Linked DNA regions of Arabidopsis thaliana. The protein of the gene in region 2 interacts with the protein of the main gene of each other region in a pairwise test. Each region holds a gene or a part of one and is shown on either strand. Other genes may lie near its edges.

Region 1 (4,454 bases), on a different chromosome or scaffold from region 2:
CCTTGTTGTGTGGATATTAGTGCCAATCCTAGGAGTACTCGTCATTCTCTCTATATGTGCAAACACATTCACCTACTGCATTCGGAAACGAAAACTACAAAATGGAAGAAACACAGATCCTGAAACAGGAGAGAATATGTCCATATTCAGCGTTGATGGCAAATTCAAATACCAAGATATCATCGAATCAACAAACGAATTCGATCCAACACACCTCATCGGAACCGGAGGATACAGCAAAGTCTACAGAGCAAACCTCCAAGATACAATCATAGCCGTTAAACGACTACATGACACAATAGACGAAGAGATATCAAAGCCAGTTGTGAAGCAAGAGTTCCTAAACGAGGTAAAAGCATTAACAGAGATCCGTCACCGCAACGTTGTGAAGCTCTTCGGCTTCTGCTCCCACCGCCGCCACACATTTCTGATCTACGAGTACATGGAAAAAGGAAGTTTAAACAAACTCTTAGCCAACGACGAAGAAGCTAAGCGACTCACTTGGACCAAAAGGATCAACGTCGTGAAAGGTGTGGCTCACGCTTTATCGTATATGCACCATGACCGAATAACACCGATCGTTCACCGTGATATTAGCAGCGGAAACATCCTTCTCGATAACGATTACACAGCTAAGATCTCCGATTTTGGTACAGCAAAACTTCTAAAGACGGATTCATCAAACTGGTCCGCCGTTGCTGGAACCTACGGCTACGTTGCACCAGGTAAATCTAAATCCCTAAATCTGATTTTGAGCTTATGAAATTTAAATCACTAAATTCGAAATTGAACTTGATTTTTCGCAACAGAGTTTGCTTACACGATGAAGGTGACGGAGAAATGCGATGTGTATAGCTTCGGGGTTTTGATACTCGAATTGATAATTGGGAAACATCCGGGAGATTTGGTATCGAGTTTGTCTTCGTCTCCAGGAGAAGCTCTGTCGCTAAGAAGCATTTCCGATGAACGTGTATTAGAACCACGGGGACAAAATAGAGAGAAGCTCTTGAAGATGGTGGAAATGGCTTTATTGTGTTTACAAGCAAATCCAGAATCTCGGCCAACGATGTTGTCAATCTCCACTACATTTTCTTAGAAACTGAACTTCTCCATCAATTTCTATGTTATCATTGTGTTTATCTATACAGCAACAGTAATCTCTGTTGGCTTTTGTTCTCTGTTCTTGCTTGTGTTTGCAGGAAGGGGTGTCGACTCTCGTTTCAGCTTTTGTTGTTGTTGTTTGGGCTTCTCGGCCTGCTTCAGCTTTTGTATGTATTGGGCTGCGCCCTTGTTGGTCTTTGGGCCTTGTTTGTTTTTATCTTTGCGGCTTGCGTGCCATGTTAGGCCTTTTGGTCTTGTAATGTGTTTGGTTAATGGAAATCTATGAAGTTAAAAAAATGAAAAAAAAAAAAAAAAAAAAAAAACTGTTAAAAGCATTTTTAGATAATGGTCATTGTGTTACTCCTCACATATGAACATTCAAATAAAGTTTTGGATACTGTCTATCTGTATATCGCCAGAATTAGTAAGAGATTTCTTATGCATAGTAGGAGATTAAAAAAAAAAATGCATAGTAGGAGATTTGTAAAGAAAGAAATAAGTTTTTTTTTGTATAATGAGTTCTAATGGACATCACGTTTGCAAGTGATAATAAAAAAATCTTACACTCTTGTACTCTGTAACGTGTTAAAATAATACAAAATGGATTATAATAACGAAATCTAAACACTTATAATCTTGCGGATGATTTTGTGACAACCAATGAAACCGTTAATGCGAGATTACGATAGTTTTTTATGAAATCATGATTTGTGCATAAAGTTAAGCAAATGCTAAATAATTCATAAAGTGTAAGAAACACGTGGCAGAAGAATTAATAATTCGTTTGGGATATTTTTGGTATATACGGACAGGCCACGTCGTGTCCTAAACCTCTTAGCCTTTCCCTTTATAAGTCAATCTTGTGTCGGCTTCGACTCCCAACATACACAAAACACTAAAAGTAGAAGAAAAATGGCGACTCTTAAGGTTTCTGATTCTGTTCCTGCTCCTTCTGATGATGCTGAGCAATTGAGAACCGCTTTTGAAGGTATAATAGTTTCATGATTCTTCTTGTTACGTTCTCTGTTTTTGTTACCTTCTTGTTTACATGATCAGTATCCACTTTTTGTAAAAGTGATGTGAATCTGTTGGTTTTCGTTTGGTGGGTTATTGTATGATCATTTGTTTTGATTGTTTTTCATGTGGATCGATCTTTGTTTTGGTCCGATGATATGAATGTTGTGTCGGTAGCGTTTTATGATCATTTGTACGATGATGTAGATCGAGATTGTTCCTTCATGGATCGGATCAGTGACAATGATCTCCTTTCTTTGTGTGATCTATAACAATCTTTTGTGTTAGTGATGAAGTTTTGATTGTCTGATCATGTTGATAATGACAATGATTACATTCACACGAGATCTTGATTGAGTTGTGTTTTGATTCTCACTGTCACAGATCTGTCTTCTTAGTCTAGATCTATAATGTAGTTACGTGTAATACAACACTAAGATCTTAAGATTTATATTTTGTGAATCTGTTTGACCGGTTCTGTTATTATGGATCTGAAGTGTGTGTGACTTGGATCTGAAGTATGTGACTTTGATGGTTATGTAAAGTGAATCTGATTCGTGTTTTTCGCAGGATGGGGTACGAACGAGGACTTGATCATATCAATCTTGGCTCACAGAAGTGCTGAACAGAGGAAAGTCATCAGGCAAGCATACCACGAAACCTACGGCGAAGACCTTCTCAAGACTCTTGACAAGGAGCTCTCTAACGATTTCGAGGTTCGGTTTTCGGACTTTTAAGTATCGACTTTTAAACATCTTGTGTGAAGTCATTGTATTCTAATTGGTTTTTTGGTCATGGACAGAGAGCTATCTTGTTGTGGACTCTTGAACCCGGTGAGCGTGATGCTTTATTGGCTAATGAAGCTACAAAAAGATGGACTTCAAGCAACCAAGTTCTTATGGAAGTTGCTTGCACAAGGACATCAACGCAGCTGCTTCACGCTAGGCAAGCTTACCATGCTCGCTACAAGAAGTCTCTTGAAGAGGACGTTGCTCACCACACTACCGGTGACTTCAGAAAGCTTTTGGTTTCTCTTGTTACCTCATACAGGTACGAAGGAGATGAAGTGAACATGACATTGGCTAAGCAAGAAGCTAAGCTGGTCCATGAGAAAATCAAGGACAAGCACTACAATGATGAGGATGTTATTAGAATCTTGTCCACAAGAAGCAAAGCTCAGATCAATGCTACTTTTAACCGTTACCAAGATGATCATGGCGAGGAAATTCTCAAGAGTCTTGAGGAAGGAGATGATGATGACAAGTTCCTTGCACTTTTGAGGTCAACCATTCAGTGCTTGACAAGACCAGAGCTTTACTTTGTCGATGTTCTTCGTTCAGCAATCAACAAAACTGGAACTGATGAAGGAGCACTCACTAGAATTGTGACCACAAGAGCTGAGATTGACTTGAAGGTCATTGGAGAGGAGTACCAGCGCAGGAACAGCATTCCTTTGGAGAAAGCTATTACCAAAGACACTCGTGGAGATTACGAGAAGATGCTCGTCGCACTTCTCGGTGAAGATGATGCTTAATCAATCAATCCTCCACAGAGAAACATAAGCTGCTCTACAGCTTCTGTTATCTCTTATCTCCCTCTCTCTCTCTTTGATGAGTTTCAAATCGTTTGATTTTGTTTCTACAAAAACCTTGTTTGTTTCTGTTGTGTGTTTTGAGTTCCTAAATAATGCAAAAGAGAGAGACAGAGAGAACCAGTGTGGTCTCTTAAGTTATATATATATGAAGAGCATTGGCCTAAAACACAGACTAACAAGTAGTTCTGGTTTTGACAAAAGTTGTTGTCACTACAAAAAGGGAGACCAACAACAAAAAAGTTAAGGGCATTGTTTTCTCTAAAGCCCTATCCGATCTTGAAACACAAAATAACAACAACAACATTTTTTAGTTACTAATCAAAGTCACTTCTTCAAGATGGTCTTGGAGAAAATCTTCTTGCAGTAAGGGCTCGAGTGTAGTTTCCCGTACCTGTAAACCTTCGCCACCAATTTAGCACGAACAGGTCCCTGCATCAACCCCAAAAGCCATGTCAAGTTCTGTTTCTAAAAGCTTATAACATATGTATTGATTTGGACTTACTTTGGTTACAGAGAGAGCAGTTTGGATCACATAGTTCGCATAAGGATCTTGCAGAAGATATTCAAAGTTTGGAACACAGAGGAGCTCACGGACGATCTCAGCTCGACTCTCTGGATACTTCCTTAGACACTTCTCAATCACGTGGCTACTAAACTTCTGAGTAGCTAACTCGGCGTAGTGCATTCTAAACTGAACCAGCAACTTCACTGCAGAAACTTGTTGATCTATTAAGTACTGCACCAC
Region 2 (5,586 bases):
TGAAGTCTGGTTTCGCCCTTTGTTTTCTCCTCTAGTTTTCTTGTAACGCCAAACTACATTCTGTATGATCAAAATTTAGTAACATAATTTATCAGAACCCCATTGTTTTAAAACGTGTCTGTGTATTTGTGTTTATATACGCTTAATCTTCTTCTTTCTAGTTAAATTTAATCAATTTAATGAAAAATTTGGTATATAAAAAAAAAGACTTTGCTCACGAGTTCCTCTCATAAGGGCCAAAACTAGTTAAAAAGTTATCGTCAAAAACTGATATAAAAAAGATGTCCGAATATTCCCGCATATAAATATCTATCAGACAAACTCTTTTGTACAATATACTTTGAATCCGATAAATTTTCGATCTTCAAAATCCATAAAAATCTCTCCTTTATTTAGCCCTAAAACAGAGTATTAGAGTTTGATTCGTAAAAGAGAATATTTTTAATCTCCGCCGCAAGTCGATGTCGATAACGATTCCCTACGATGGCTCAATCTCCCGCGAGCCATCACCGTCTCCACCGCCGCCAAAAGCGAACACGAAGAATCTACCGACGAAGATTCTCTCTAACTTCCTCATAGGTCTAATCATGATCCCTGTAGCTATAACCGCTTTTATCTTTATCCTCACGTCTCTCGGTTTCACCTTCTTCTTCGCTTTCTACTGGTTTCTTCAACGAAACTATCGCCACCGTCTCCGCCGCCATCGCCGTCACGAATACTCAGATGGGTTATCTCCAAGATGCGTGAAGAGGCTTCCTCAATTCAAGTATTGTGAGCCTAGTTCAGAGTACGGAGGCGATGATTGTGTTGTTTGTATCGATGGATTTAGACAAGGACAGTGGTGTCGGAAGCTGCCTCGATGTGGACATGTGTTTCACCGAAAGTGTGTGGACTTGTGGTTGATTAAAGTCTCGACTTGTCCGATTTGTAGGGATAGGGTTTATAGATTTGAAGAAGGAAGAAGATGGAGACCACAAGGTGAAATTTTTTGATCGGTGGTTTTATAATTAGATTTGAAAGTGTGTTTAGTTTGTTATCATATTTAGCAGCAATTTTGGTTTTCATCAATAGTCATGTACAGTGTCTTTTTTTTTTTTTTACACGGCTTCACAATTGAAAGCTTGTTTCTTCACCGTTTGATGAATTTGATCCAATAAGAGAATGATGGGTTTCTGTAGAATTTAACTTAGTTTGAGGTTTGATTATCATGCCAATTATTAAATTCAATCTAGTCAATTACTGATAGAAATGTTGTCCATTTGTCACTTTAAACATGTTGCTTATGTTACCTTAATGATTTCTCATAATTTCACTTGAGATTCAGTGGTTAATCATCAATGTTTCTGTTTCAATTTGTCCATGATGAAGTATAAGTTCTAAGTAAAGCTTGGTTCATGTGATTTTAATTTACCTACTTCACCTCCAAAGTTATGTCAACTATGTTTTCAAGTGTGTGATTCAAAAGTTTATATTGAACATAAAAATAAAGGAGGCTAAAGAATCGTTTTCTGATTGGAATGTGAGATTGTGACTCACACGGAGAAAGTGATTGTGATTGGATCTGACTATAAGACTAAAGAAGTGTTTTTGTGAAGTAACAAGTAACATTGTCTAATTAGTGTTTTGTATTGTAAACTAATAATGACTTTGATTAACGAAATAATGTCACTTTAGTCAAATGTGTTGACTTTCTTGTCTTATACCGATGGCTCAAGTATTCCCAAGAAAAAAAAACAAATATCCCTCCGATTTCTGACTCGTCCCGTGACTCAGTGATTCTCCTCTTCCAATCCTCTCCGGAAGAACTAAACAAAAACACGATCTTTCTCAGATTTAGAGAGAGTAAGAGTGAGAGAGTGTCAGAGACACGAATCAAAGAAATGATTTTTAAAAGCTTCTGTTAATTCTAATTTGCATAGATTTGTTTACTCGAGCTTGAGCTTGAGCTTCTTCTAATGGAGTTAAGGAAGGACAAGCTTCTTATGTAAGTTTTCTTTCTCTCATCCGTCGGTTAGACTTACGTTCCTGAAAGTCTTCAACTTTGATTGCCCAGAAATTAAAAATTCTAGACTTTGCTTTAGATTTATCTCTTCTTTAGATGTTACAAGCTCAAGCTCCGATTTTGGGTACTGGGTTTAACTTAAATCTCTAGTTAGGTTTCAGATTACAGATTTGAGTTGTGTATTGCTTTGTAGGTTTTACTCAGAGGGGAAAGAAAGCAAAGAAGCTAAATGGGCAGTGAATGATCCAATGAGCAAATCTTATAAGCTCTCTTTACCTTCAGCACTAAGACCTGATAATCTCTTACCTGGAAATAGACTTAGATACACTGATGCTTCTAAGTCCAAATCTTCTAAAGTCTCATGGTACAAGACTATTCTTGATCCAGGAAGTGAGATTGTCTTGAAATGGAATTGGGTCTTCATTGTCTCATGTATGGTTGCTCTCTTCATCGACCCGTTGTACTTCTTTGTCCCAGCTATAGGAGGAGATAAAAACTATCCTTGTGCAAGGACTGATACAAGTTTAAGCATCCTTGTTACTTTCTTCAGGACAATAGCGGATCTTTTCTACTTGCTGCACATTTTCATTAAGTTTAGGACTGGTTTCATTGCGCCTAATTCAAGTACTAGAGTGTTTGGTAGAGGTGAGCTTGTGATGGATCCTAAGGCTATTGCTTGGAGGTATATTAAATCTGACTTCATCATCGATCTCATTGCGACGTTACCACTTCCACAGATAGTTATCTGGTTTGTTATATCGACTACAAAAAGTTACCGGTTTGATCATAACAACAATGCTATTGCTTTGATTGTGCTCCTCCAATACATCCCAAGATTCTATTTGATAATTCCGTTAAGTTCTCAAATTGTTAAAGCAACTGGAGTTGTTACAAAGACTGCTTGGGCTGGAGCTGCTTATAATCTTTTGCTATACATGCTGGCTAGTCATGTATGAATCCCATTCCTTCTTCTTCCATTATTTCATTCCTTAAATGTGATGATAATCAAAGCTACAATGTTTTTGTTGGGACAGGTGCTTGGTGCAGCCTGGTATATATTATCGGTTGATAGATATACATCGTGCTGGAAATCAAGATGCAATGGTGAAGCTGGCCAAGTTAATTGTCAGCTATATTACTTAGACTGTGATTCAATGTATGACAATAATCAGATGACTTGGGCAAATGTCACAAAAGTGTTTAAACTCTGTGATGCACGGAATGGCGAGTTCAAGTATGGGATCTTTGGGAATGCAATCACGAAAAACGTTGTGTCTTCACAGTTCTTCGAGAGATATTTCTACTGTTTGTGGTGGGGATTGCAGCAGCTTAGGTAATGGCAGAGATCATAGAAATTTTTTGATACCAATTATTACTCTCCTTTTGATTACAAGTTTTAGAATCTGATGACATTTTCCTGTTATTGTCATATTCTAGTTCTTATGGACAGAATTTGTCCACGACCATGTTCATGGGCGAAACCACATTTGCTGTTCTCATTGCAATCTTTGGTCTTGTCCTCTTTGCCCATCTCATTGGGAATATGCAGGTATGGATTCCTGCGTTAGGATAAGTTCTAAAAGTATCTGCTTTTGTTCTTATGTTTCTTGGGTTTTGCCTTTTGTTTGTTAGACATATCTGCAATCTTTGACTGTACGGCTTGAGGAATGGAGATTGAAGAAGAGAGACACTGAGGAGTGGATGAGACATCGTCAACTTCCTGAAGAGTTGAGAAACCGTGTGAGGCGATATGAGCAGTATAAGTGGCTTGCAACAAGAGGAGTCGATGAAGAGGTTCTCCTGCAAAGTTTACCCACTGATCTTCGCCGTGATATTCAACGTCACCTATGTTTAGATCTTGTTCGAAGAGTAAGTTTTTCTATTGATTTGTTTATCCTACAAATGGTTCAACTTTTAGGTTAACTACTATCTTGAATCATGCAGGTCCCATTTTTCTCTCAAATGGATGATCAGCTGCTTGATGCGATATGTGAGCGCCTGGTTTCTTCTCTGTGTACTGAAGGGACTTACCTTGTACGTGAAGGTGACTTGATCTCAGAGATGCTCTTCATCATCAGAGGTAGACTCGAGAGTTCCACAACCAATGGAGGCAGAACCGGTTTCTTCAACTCGATTATACTTAGACCTGGAGATTTCTGTGGGGAAGAGCTTCTTTCTTGGGCTTTGCTTCCAAAATCAACCTTGAATTTACCATCTTCTACAAGAACAGTTAGGGCTTTAGTTGAAGTCGAAGCATTCGCTCTTCGAGCTGAAGATTTGAAATTTGTTGCAAATCAGTTTAGGCGGTTACACAGCAAGAAGCTTCAACATACATTCAGATTCTACTCTCACCATTGGAGAACTTGGGCTGCTTGCTTCATACAAGCGGCTTGGCGCAGGTACAAGAGAAGAGTTATGGAGAATAACCTCACTGCGATTGAATCAATGGAAAATGAAGAAGGAGAAGTAGGAGAAGAATTAGTAGTAGTAGAAGAAGAAGAGTGTGTTGAGGAGAGTCCTAGAACAAAGATGAACCTTGGAGTTATGGTTTTGGCATCGCGTTTTGCAGCTAATACAAGACGCGGTGTTGCAGCTCAGAGAGTTAAGGATGTAGAATTACCCCGGTTTAAGAAACCCGAGGAGCCTGATTTCTCTGCTGAGCATGATGATTGACTGATGTATAACCAGGAGAAGAAGCTGACTTTGTTCCATAGAAGATCTTAATGACAAGAACACTACAGAGTAAGTTTCCTGTTCCTTTGGGAGACATAAAGAAAGAAACTCAAGGCGGGTTTTGGTTTGTACACTTAAACATCTTTTGTAATATAAGCTTGGAGAATTAGTTTTGTTGTACTATTAAAGAACTCGTTTCTAAATTCTCTAAATGTAAAGATGAGGAAGTTGAAGTGGATTATGTACAAATCACATCAAACCTTGCAAAATTGATTGAACCAACAAGGAAGTAAAAAGATGTCTAAGCCCATTCGTCAAAGCCCCTATATGCCGTGGTTACTGACTTACTGTAACGTTGAGAATAAGATGGTAAAGAAAGAAAAAATATATTTTCTTGAGCATGTTGCATATTGCTATCGACACAAGCTTCTTTTTAAAGAAAGGTAGACTCACTTAATCAATAGACATAAGATCATACTAATGATGAGTTTGGACTTTGGTCCATGGGAAAAAGTTAAAATGTTTACTTGCTTTCTCTACTGACCTAGATATGTCGGATCAAATCATAATCTACATTACAGGATTACATACATATTTGGGATTTTTCTTTTTGCAATATGGCCACAAGACCAGCTCAATGTAATCATGGATTCTTAGTCGATTTAAAAAGTTGTAAATATTTTAAACTAACATATTGAAAAGTTTCTGAAAATTTCTTGTCCCATATAATATACAAATAAATTTTATGGTCTTGAATGACAATAACAATATAGTATGGCACAAGAAGTTAGATTGAACGGAAACTGAATCATGAAAACAATGGTTTTCAACAATCATAATTATAGTAACATATATTAATATTTTGAATCGTTTATTAATATGTGAAATTTTTAAACATGCATGCATATATT
Region 3 (3,774 bases), on a different chromosome or scaffold from region 2:
TAAAACACTCAGTAACTAAAAAATATTTTCTTAAAAAAAGATATGATGCGGAACTTTTAATTAAAACTCACAACTAAAAAATTAAAATAGTTGAAACATACTTAGTAAACACCAAATTATTTTCAACAAAAAATAGTCAAAGTCGTAGCACTGAACCATTCAACCAAAAAAAAACACATTTAACAAGATACACACACGACTAATAAATGTGTATTTTCTTACGTCTTTAAAATTACATTAACACTTAATTAATTCAACAAAATCCCTTTAGCCAAAATTTAGTCGAAGCACTTACTCAAAAAACTTATATCTAAATCCGAACACACGTAAAACACTAGATCAATTTACTTAAAAGTCGAAACATATATTTCCAAGCATACTTCTAAACAAAGCATACTTAGTGAAGTACATTAGTTATACTGTTGAACACAATATTAAATCACGAACACGTACTCCTAAACTAGTCAGGCAAATTACTCCTAACATTTTAGTCAAAACATAGTTATTCGTAACACTTGAAAACACTTCCGCAATTCCGCATTTAAAGGCAAGTGCAAAAATCACACTTTATTTAAAAAAAGCTTATATAAAAACCGTTTTAGGCGAAGTATGAATATTACTTGAACAATTATTGTTTTTACTTCACATTTCGTCGAAGCGTCTGTTAGTCGAAGCCAAGCACAAGTTGAACCACTGTTAGTCGTATCGCTGTTAGTCGTTAGTCAAAACACTTTTTTATGTCATACATTTTGTACGTTGTTATTAAATGTTAACTTGATCGGGAAAAGACCACTCTGTTGCAGGTCGCACACCTTTAACAGTGATCTAATATATCAAAGACAAAAAAAAGGTGGATTGAGATTAATCATAAAAGGAAACAAATACTTTAACAACTTCTCAAAAAAATTGGTGATCAAACTCAGAAAACTAAAAATTGGAACATAGCAACTGAAGAAAATGAAAATGAGGATCTGTTTCGCATCCATATTTCGCAAACTCATTAAAACGTTAATTAATTTTAAAATAACCAAGTGTAGATAACGCAGCTTATCGGATCCGTTGGTATAACGTTGTATGGTCCTCAGTTTGGAAGGAGTGGCGATTTTCCGAAAATGGATTGATATAAGGCAAACAGATTGGTTCAGAGTAATTTCAAAAAAATCAATGAAACGGTATATGAAATAATGTACTTAAAATATTATATCAAATAGGCTATCTCTATGCTCACATCACATGCGTCGAATAAACAATTAAAACAAAAATCCAACGGGACGACCAATAGCATAATTCCGGTGGCTCGTAATTAAAAATTGGTCCACATTATATCAAAGTGCTCACGTACCCTTTCAAAATTCCAATTCCAACTAATGTTGCTGTGGTGCTACAGAAATAAATAAAAAACTATAGTTGAAAACTGACAAAACAAGTATAATTAATATTGACTCGCTTTATACAAGAAACATGTTACTTTGTACAAAACAAGTATAATTAATATTGACTAAAATGAAAATTATCACTTTATACCTGTTAAGAATCGATAGATTATCATACAAGTTGTTTCAAATTATTATACAAGTTTGTTTCACTTCACTTTACACCGAATAGCATTGATAAATTAATATACACCTGCTAAAGTGACGAGGTTTCAAAAGCATATCATTGCATCCTATAAAAAGAAGCTCACTCAGTATACTAAAACACACCAACATTCATCAAAAAAACACATAACAAAAAATGGAATTCTCAACCACATTAGCTCTGTTCTTCACTCTCTCCATATTCTTGGTCGGAGCACAAGCCAAAGTTCCCGTCGACGACCAATTTCGAGTGGTCAACGAAGGAGGCTACACCGATTACAGTCCCATCGAATACAACCCCGACGTACGTGGCTTCGTCCCCTTCAGCGACAACTTCCGTCTCTGTTTCTACAACACAACCCAAAACGCATACACTCTCGCTCTTAGAATCGGAAACAGAGCCCAAGAATCCACTCTAAGATGGGTCTGGGAAGCAAACAGAGGCTCACCAGTCAAAGAAAACGCCACGTTGACTTTCGGCGAAGATGGAAACCTTGTACTTGCTGAAGCCGATGGCCGCGTGGTCTGGCAAACGAACACGGCTAACAAAGGCGTCGTGGGGATCAAAATTTTGGAGAATGGCAATATGGTAATATATGATTCAAATGGAAAATTCGTATGGCAAAGCTTTGACTCTCCGACCGACACGCTTCTCGTTGGACAGTCTTTGAAACTCAACGGTCAAAACAAGCTCGTAAGCAGACTTTCTCCATCGGTCAACGCAAACGGACCGTACAGTCTCGTGATGGAAGCCAAGAAGCTAGTCTTGTACTACACGACAAACAAAACTCCAAAACCAATCGGTTACTACGAATACGAATTCTTCACCAAGATAGCTCAGTTACAGTCTATGACGTTCCAAGCTGTGGAGGATGCCGACACCACGTGGGGTCTACACATGGAAGGTGTCGACTCTGGTTCTCAATTCAACGTCTCGACGTTCCTCTCGCGGCCTAAACACAATGCGACGTTGAGTTTTCTTCGGTTAGAGTCAGACGGAAACATCAGAGTTTGGAGTTACAGTACGTTGGCGACTTCCACGGCTTGGGACGTAACGTACACGGCGTTTACTAACGACAACACTGACGGTAACGATGAGTGTAGGATCCCTGAGCATTGTTTGGGGTTTGGTTTGTGTAAGAAAGGTCAGTGTAACGCTTGTCCTAGCGACATAGGGCTTCTTGGTTGGGATGAGACTTGCAAGATTCCGAGTCTCGCTAGTTGCGATCCCAAGACATTTCACTATTTCAAGATCGAAGGAGCTGATAGTTTTATGACGAAGTATAACGGTGGATCAACGACAACGGAGAGTGCGTGTGGGGACAAATGTACGAGAGATTGTAAGTGTTTAGGGTTTTTCTACAATAGGAAGAGTTCGAGGTGTTGGTTGGGTTATGAGCTCAAGACATTGACTAAAACCGGAGATACTTCCCTAGTTGCTTATGTCAAGGCTCCGAATGCTAGCAAGAAGTCAGCTCTTGCCATTTGAAGCGTAAACAAAGGTTTTTGTGTGTCGTTTTGACGAATAATAAGGCTACGTTGTCCTTTGTTTTCTCTTTTCTGAAAAAGTGTTGCTATTGGTTTATCTTGTTTTATGATTGCATGTTGATTCTCAAGCTACACCGTAATAAATTGAAGTGAAACGCATCAGCTAAATTCAATTATTCTCATTATTTTACCAAAAAAAATAAAATTATTCATTAATTTAGTATCATCACAAAATATGATATACTTAAGGATTGAATTGAGAAATTGAATCATGAATGAGTTTAAGCTTTCATGTTTTCTGTTTTTCTTTTTTTTTTAGCTTGAGACCATATTTTGAAGGTAATGTTTCAAGAAAAACCTTAACTTTCCGTTGTGAAAAAATGTTTTATATTTTTATTAGACACTGATGCAATGCAGTAGAACGTGCACACAACACTTTGCTTCTCATGACAAGCCATTGAAAGATTCAAACTTTTAATTTGGATTATTAAAGAAGCGGTATAAATATGATACGAATAAGATGCGTGCTACGGCGCTTCGACGCCGCGTCACCTTAACAGAGATGGTCATCTGTCTCGTTTTTTTTTGACCAGTCAACGCTCTTATATATTTATTATACATGTACATAATGTCTTAAATCATGCAGACTAATAACTTTACATCGTTTTCGTTGTTAGCTTTGATTTTTAAAAGTCAACTTGAAAGATGC
Region 4 (4,462 bases), on a different chromosome or scaffold from region 2:
AAACTTAAATGAAAAGTAATACATAGCATGTGGAGGATTTGGTGATCAAATATTAATCCACACATGCAATATACGAAAAGTTAACTTTTTGTTCGGTTCTGAAAGTAATGAAACCAAAAGCAAGAGAAAAATCAGTTTAGTTAGGAGTTCTATTTAACAAATTTCAACATTAATCTTTTTCAGAAAAAGATTAAAATCAAAGAAAGCAAAACGGACAGAGTTTTGTAACTTGGTTCGGGTACATGTTTACATGATCTTATTTCATAGTTTCCCAAGTAAGAAATAGATTTGGTTTGCTAGTTACATTTGCGACCATGCATTTAGCATATTCCATCTAGTGAAAATTAATTAATATTATCTATTTCTATTTTTTATCTTTTATTTCACTATCTTATTTCTACCACCCACCCAAGCTAGACCGCCATCTTAACTAATAATTAATCAAACTTAAGAGTCGTAAGCACTGATATCTATGGATTACCTAAGAAATCTATAGTGGACATGTATAAAATCTAACATATGCACTAGGGACATCCATATCTTAGGCACATATGTATGGTTAAAGACAATTAAAAAAAACAACCTTACACGTAAATACCTTATACACACGTAAAATTTGCATACGAGCCAATGTCTTTCTTGTATATGTATGTATTGATATTTTTTTCTCTTTTTCATTCTTTGTTAAGGGAAATATATACTTATCTTATATGACCCCTAAACGGCTAAACGATATAAAAACAACGTTAAAAATCTTATTATGGTGCATGGCTTGCTTATAATTGTTTAGCTATTTTTAGGTTATTAGTAGTCGCAGCATAAAAACGGTATGTCAACAAATTTCATGGTAGATCTAGATTACGACCTCAAAACTCGTTTATACAAAGTATACAACGTTTCTACAATTTATATTAATTAGTTTTTTGTGAGTATGCATATATATCGTAACTATGTCGGGTTTTATATTATTACATTTAAAATGATAGGAACTTATCATTTGACAAGGTGTAACAAAAATAATAATTATAAAGATGAGAGTTGTTTCGGATCAAAGGCACTTACCATTAGCTTTTAGATTCGAGAGCCTCTCACAGCCACACCTTTTTTTGGACTAGTCCTTATTGTTTAACAAACCCCACATGATATCCTTTTATATTTACACCACTTTCGTTAATTTATTAACTTTCTTCCACATCCACATTTAAATTTGATCTAGACATTTTCTTATATTAAACTATATACATCTCTATCCTAATGAGGTATTAACTAGCTATAGTTTATTCATTTGTCGGTCTTAAGCTTTATTATTTGTCATGGCAAGAAAAAGAAAACTTTGATTGGTTATTCATTGTGGTTGTTGTAACGCTTTTTTTTGTTTGTGTTATTTGACCCCAAACATAAATAATTCTTCATTTTCTTGCGCGTTTTATGATTGCGTTGAAATAACATCTTCACTCGCCAAACACTCCAGTAATACCCATTTTTCCAACATATACACTTCTAATCATACCCACAAACATACACACGTTTTAATCTGCAGCTTCAAGGATATGTTGCCTTCTTTAATTGAATCTTATTTACCAATGGAGAATACGTATACATTTCCTTAGACTAAAAAAATATATAAACCCTTTTGTTAATTATAACATTCAAGTATTCAACTATAACTTCTTAAATAAAAAAATTCGTCAACTTTATTCATAACATATATACGTGTCCTTGTCGACATGCAAAAAGAATGTATATGTGCATTTGTACGTGTATATATGTATTAAAATAAAAGGCTTAGAATAGTCGAAGGAGAGAAAGCGAAAGATGATGATGAGTCATAGAGACAATTCACCAGCTTATAAGTAGTAAATCCACCAAAAGGAAAATATATTCAACAGAGAAACTCCGATCAAGAATATTCATATCAGAGAAGAAAAAGTAAATTCCTATTAAACTTCTGATTCTCTTTTTTCTTTTTGTTCTGCTTTTCATTTGCTTTTTGGATATCTTTTTACAGTAGTTATAACTTATAAATGAAGTTCGTAAATATATTGTAGGATCATAAGAGAATCAAAGAATGGTGCTTTTACCAGCGTTTTTGGACGGATTAGCGAGAACTGTATCGACGAAGAAAGGTAAAAAACTATCGGAAGATGAAGATGGAGGGAGAGAGATCGCAAAATCGATGATTAAAGATTCGAAGAAGAACTCGACGTTGCTCGGTACTTCAGGCTTTGTTAGCTCCGAAAGTTCTAAGAGGTTTACCTCTATTTGTTCTAATAGAGGTGAGAAAGGAATCAACCAAGATCGTGCAATTGTTTGGGAGGTACACTTTATATAAATACTAGCTATATGTTAGGTAATTCGTCTTTCCATGAAACGTATTATGATATCTACAAATTATTGACGAACTTATATGTTAGAAATGGAATCATCACATGCATGTAGTTACTAATTAATTGTGTTTATAAGATTTGTTGTGAAATTTAAACTGTTTTTATGTATTTATATTACATAATATATAGGGATTTGGGTGCCAAGAAGACATAACATTTTGTGGGATGTTTGATGGACATGGACCATGGGGACATGTGATAGCCAAAAGAGTAAAAAAATCATTTCCATCTTCTCTGCTTTGCCAATGGCAACAAACTCTTGCCTCCTTATCATCCTCGCCGGAATGTTCCTCTCCGTTTGATCTTTGGAAGCAAGCTTGCCTGAAAACATTCTCCATCATCGATCTTGATCTCAAGATCAGTCCTTCCATTGATTCTTACTGTAGCGGCTGCACCGCTCTCACCGCTGTTTTGCAGGTAACATACATACATATGTTCATAATAGTACTGAACACCTTTAGCAAAAAACAAAAATACATAAGTTCTTGTAACCATATTATAACTTTTCATTTTATGGTGTATAGATAATATTTTGTGAGTATTTATAATGTTTCATTTGAAAGATGCTAAATGATAAAGTTTGATTTTGTCTTTTTAAGGGTGATCATCTCGTTATAGCAAATGCGGGTGACTCACGAGCAGTAATAGCAACAACTTCTGATGATGGAAACGGTTTAGTCCCGGTTCAGCTCTCGGTAGACTTTAAACCAAACATTCCCGGTAGAGTTCTAGAAGCCTTTCCATATTTTACAGTTACTTTTACTCAGATGAAATGACGAATTAACAATTGGTATGTGATAATTTCCGGTTAAAACAGAGGAAGCAGAACGGATAAAACAATCGGATGGACGATTGTTCTGCCTAGACGATGAACCGGGAGTGTACCGGGTGGGTATGCCTAATGGAGGATCACTCGGTTTAGCTGTTTCAAGAGCGTTTGGAGATTACTGCCTTAAAGACTTCGGTTTAGTCTCTGAACCGGAAGTAACATACCGAAAGATAACCGACAAGGACCAGTTTCTAATCTTGGCCACCGATGGGGTGATATATCAAACTTACTCAGCATTTAAATCAAAATCAAGATTGATAAATCATATAATTGTGTAATGAACTAATGATGTATGTATGTATATGTAGATGTGGGATGTGATGACGAATAATGAGGCAGTGGAGATAGTAAGAGGAGTTAAAGAGAGAAGAAAGAGCGCAAAGAGATTGGTAGAGAGAGCTGTGACGCTTTGGCGTAGGAAGAGAAGAAGCATCGCCATGGATGATATTTCTGTTCTCTGTCTCTTCTTTCGTCCTTCTTAGTTTAACTCTTCTTTAACCTCTCTATTACTTATATACATTTATCAATGTATTTTGGGCGTCATTGAACAACAAAAATGTGATACATATACATTTTTACATAGAATAATAGATGTTGTGAGGAGTGATTGAGAATGGAGAGATAGGTGAGTAAAGAGTTTTATAATGGTTTTGTTTGTAAGTACGACATGTAATGGTTCATATATTGATCAAAGTTTGGACCTTGATCTTGATTATGATTTCTATAGAAGACAAATTTCTAAAATCTCAATTCTAAAAACTAAACTATATGCTGGTCCTGAATAAATCCAATCAAAATCATAACTCAAGACTTGAATAAACAATTTTAAAAGAAAAAACTATTTCATATATAATATCCAACATTGATGAGTTTTGTGACAAGGATTAGTTTTCAGTTTTGTCATAAAGAGGATTTGCTTCTACCCTTTATAGTGACAAAAGGACAAAATTTGCCATAATATTCGCAATTCTGAAAGCCAAGTGAGGCCGTTGCATCATTCAGGTTTCTTGGTTGCTGAGATCTTCAGAGTACCTTCATTCACCAACACCTGAAGCTCTGTTTTAGCCATCTCACGAACTTGAACATCTTCAGTCTCTACGAAAGCAGATAGTATCTTTGAACTGCCAAAAAAAAAAAAAAAAATTAACGCAGCAGAACAAGATTTCAAGGCTTGACGAAAAACACCTGCTTGTTTGCAGATAAATGGATGTATGAGAGGACTCATTAGACTAACTAACCAGTGTCC

What was found.
Region 1: the proteins of CNGC17 (region 2) and ANNAT1 interact in a protein complementation assay, tested with the Arabidopsis thaliana proteins (one large-scale study listed by BioGRID).
Region 3: the proteins of CNGC17 (region 2) and AT1G78860 interact in a protein complementation assay, tested with the Arabidopsis thaliana proteins (one large-scale study listed by BioGRID).
Region 4: the proteins of CNGC17 (region 2) and AT3G16800 interact in a protein complementation assay, tested with the Arabidopsis thaliana proteins (one large-scale study listed by BioGRID).

Annotation. Positions count from the first base shown.
Region 1 is NC_003070.9:13,223,291-13,227,744, forward strand, and holds ANNAT1 (annexin 1), read left to right. Parts: upstream 1-1,877; 5' UTR 1,878-2,013; coding exon 2,014-2,089; intron 2,090-2,685; coding exon 2,686-2,831; intron 2,832-2,917; coding exon 2,918-3,649; 3' UTR 3,650-3,949; downstream 3,950-4,454. Other genes in the region: AT1G35710 (kinase family with leucine-rich repeat domain-containing protein), read left to right, coding at 1-725, 810-1,096; PUM9 (pumilio 9), read right to left, coding at 4,034-4,138, 4,212-4,454.
Region 2 is NC_003075.7:14,854,149-14,859,734, reverse strand, and holds CNGC17 (cyclic nucleotide-gated channel 17), read left to right. Parts: upstream 1-1,715; 5' UTR 1,716-1,955; coding exon 1,956-1,984; intron 1,985-2,195; coding exon 2,196-2,952; intron 2,953-3,036; coding exon 3,037-3,335; intron 3,336-3,439; coding exon 3,440-3,551; intron 3,552-3,634; coding exon 3,635-3,871; intron 3,872-3,946; coding exon 3,947-4,675; 3' UTR 4,676-5,041; downstream 5,042-5,586. Other genes in the region: AT4G30370 (RING/U-box superfamily protein), read left to right, coding at 462-992. UniProt on the Arabidopsis thaliana protein: Probable cyclic nucleotide-gated ion channel. Forms a functional cation-translocating unit with AHAs that is activated by PSKR1/BAK1 and possibly other BAK1/RLK complexes. Required for PSK-induced protoplast expansion.
Region 3 is NC_003070.9:29,645,460-29,649,233, reverse strand, and holds AT1G78860 (D-mannose binding lectin protein with Apple-like carbohydrate-binding domain-containing protein), read left to right. Parts: upstream 1-1,542; 5' UTR 1,543-1,734; coding exon 1,735-3,066; 3' UTR 3,067-3,231; downstream 3,232-3,774.
Region 4 is NC_003074.8:5,719,226-5,723,687, forward strand, and holds AT3G16800 (Protein phosphatase 2C family protein), read left to right. Parts: upstream 1-1,715; 5' UTR 1,716-1,929; intron 1,930-1,999; exon of another isoform or gene 2,000-2,048; 5' UTR 2,049-2,068; coding exon 2,069-2,317; exon of another isoform or gene 2,318-2,516; coding exon 2,517-2,804; intron 2,805-2,986; coding exon 2,987-3,107; coding exon of another isoform or gene 3,108-3,163; exon of another isoform or gene 3,164-3,204; coding exon 3,205-3,428; intron 3,429-3,524; coding exon 3,525-3,698; 3' UTR 3,699-3,960; downstream 3,961-4,462. Other genes in the region: PUM24 (pumilio 24), read right to left, coding at 4,211-4,337, 4,455-4,462.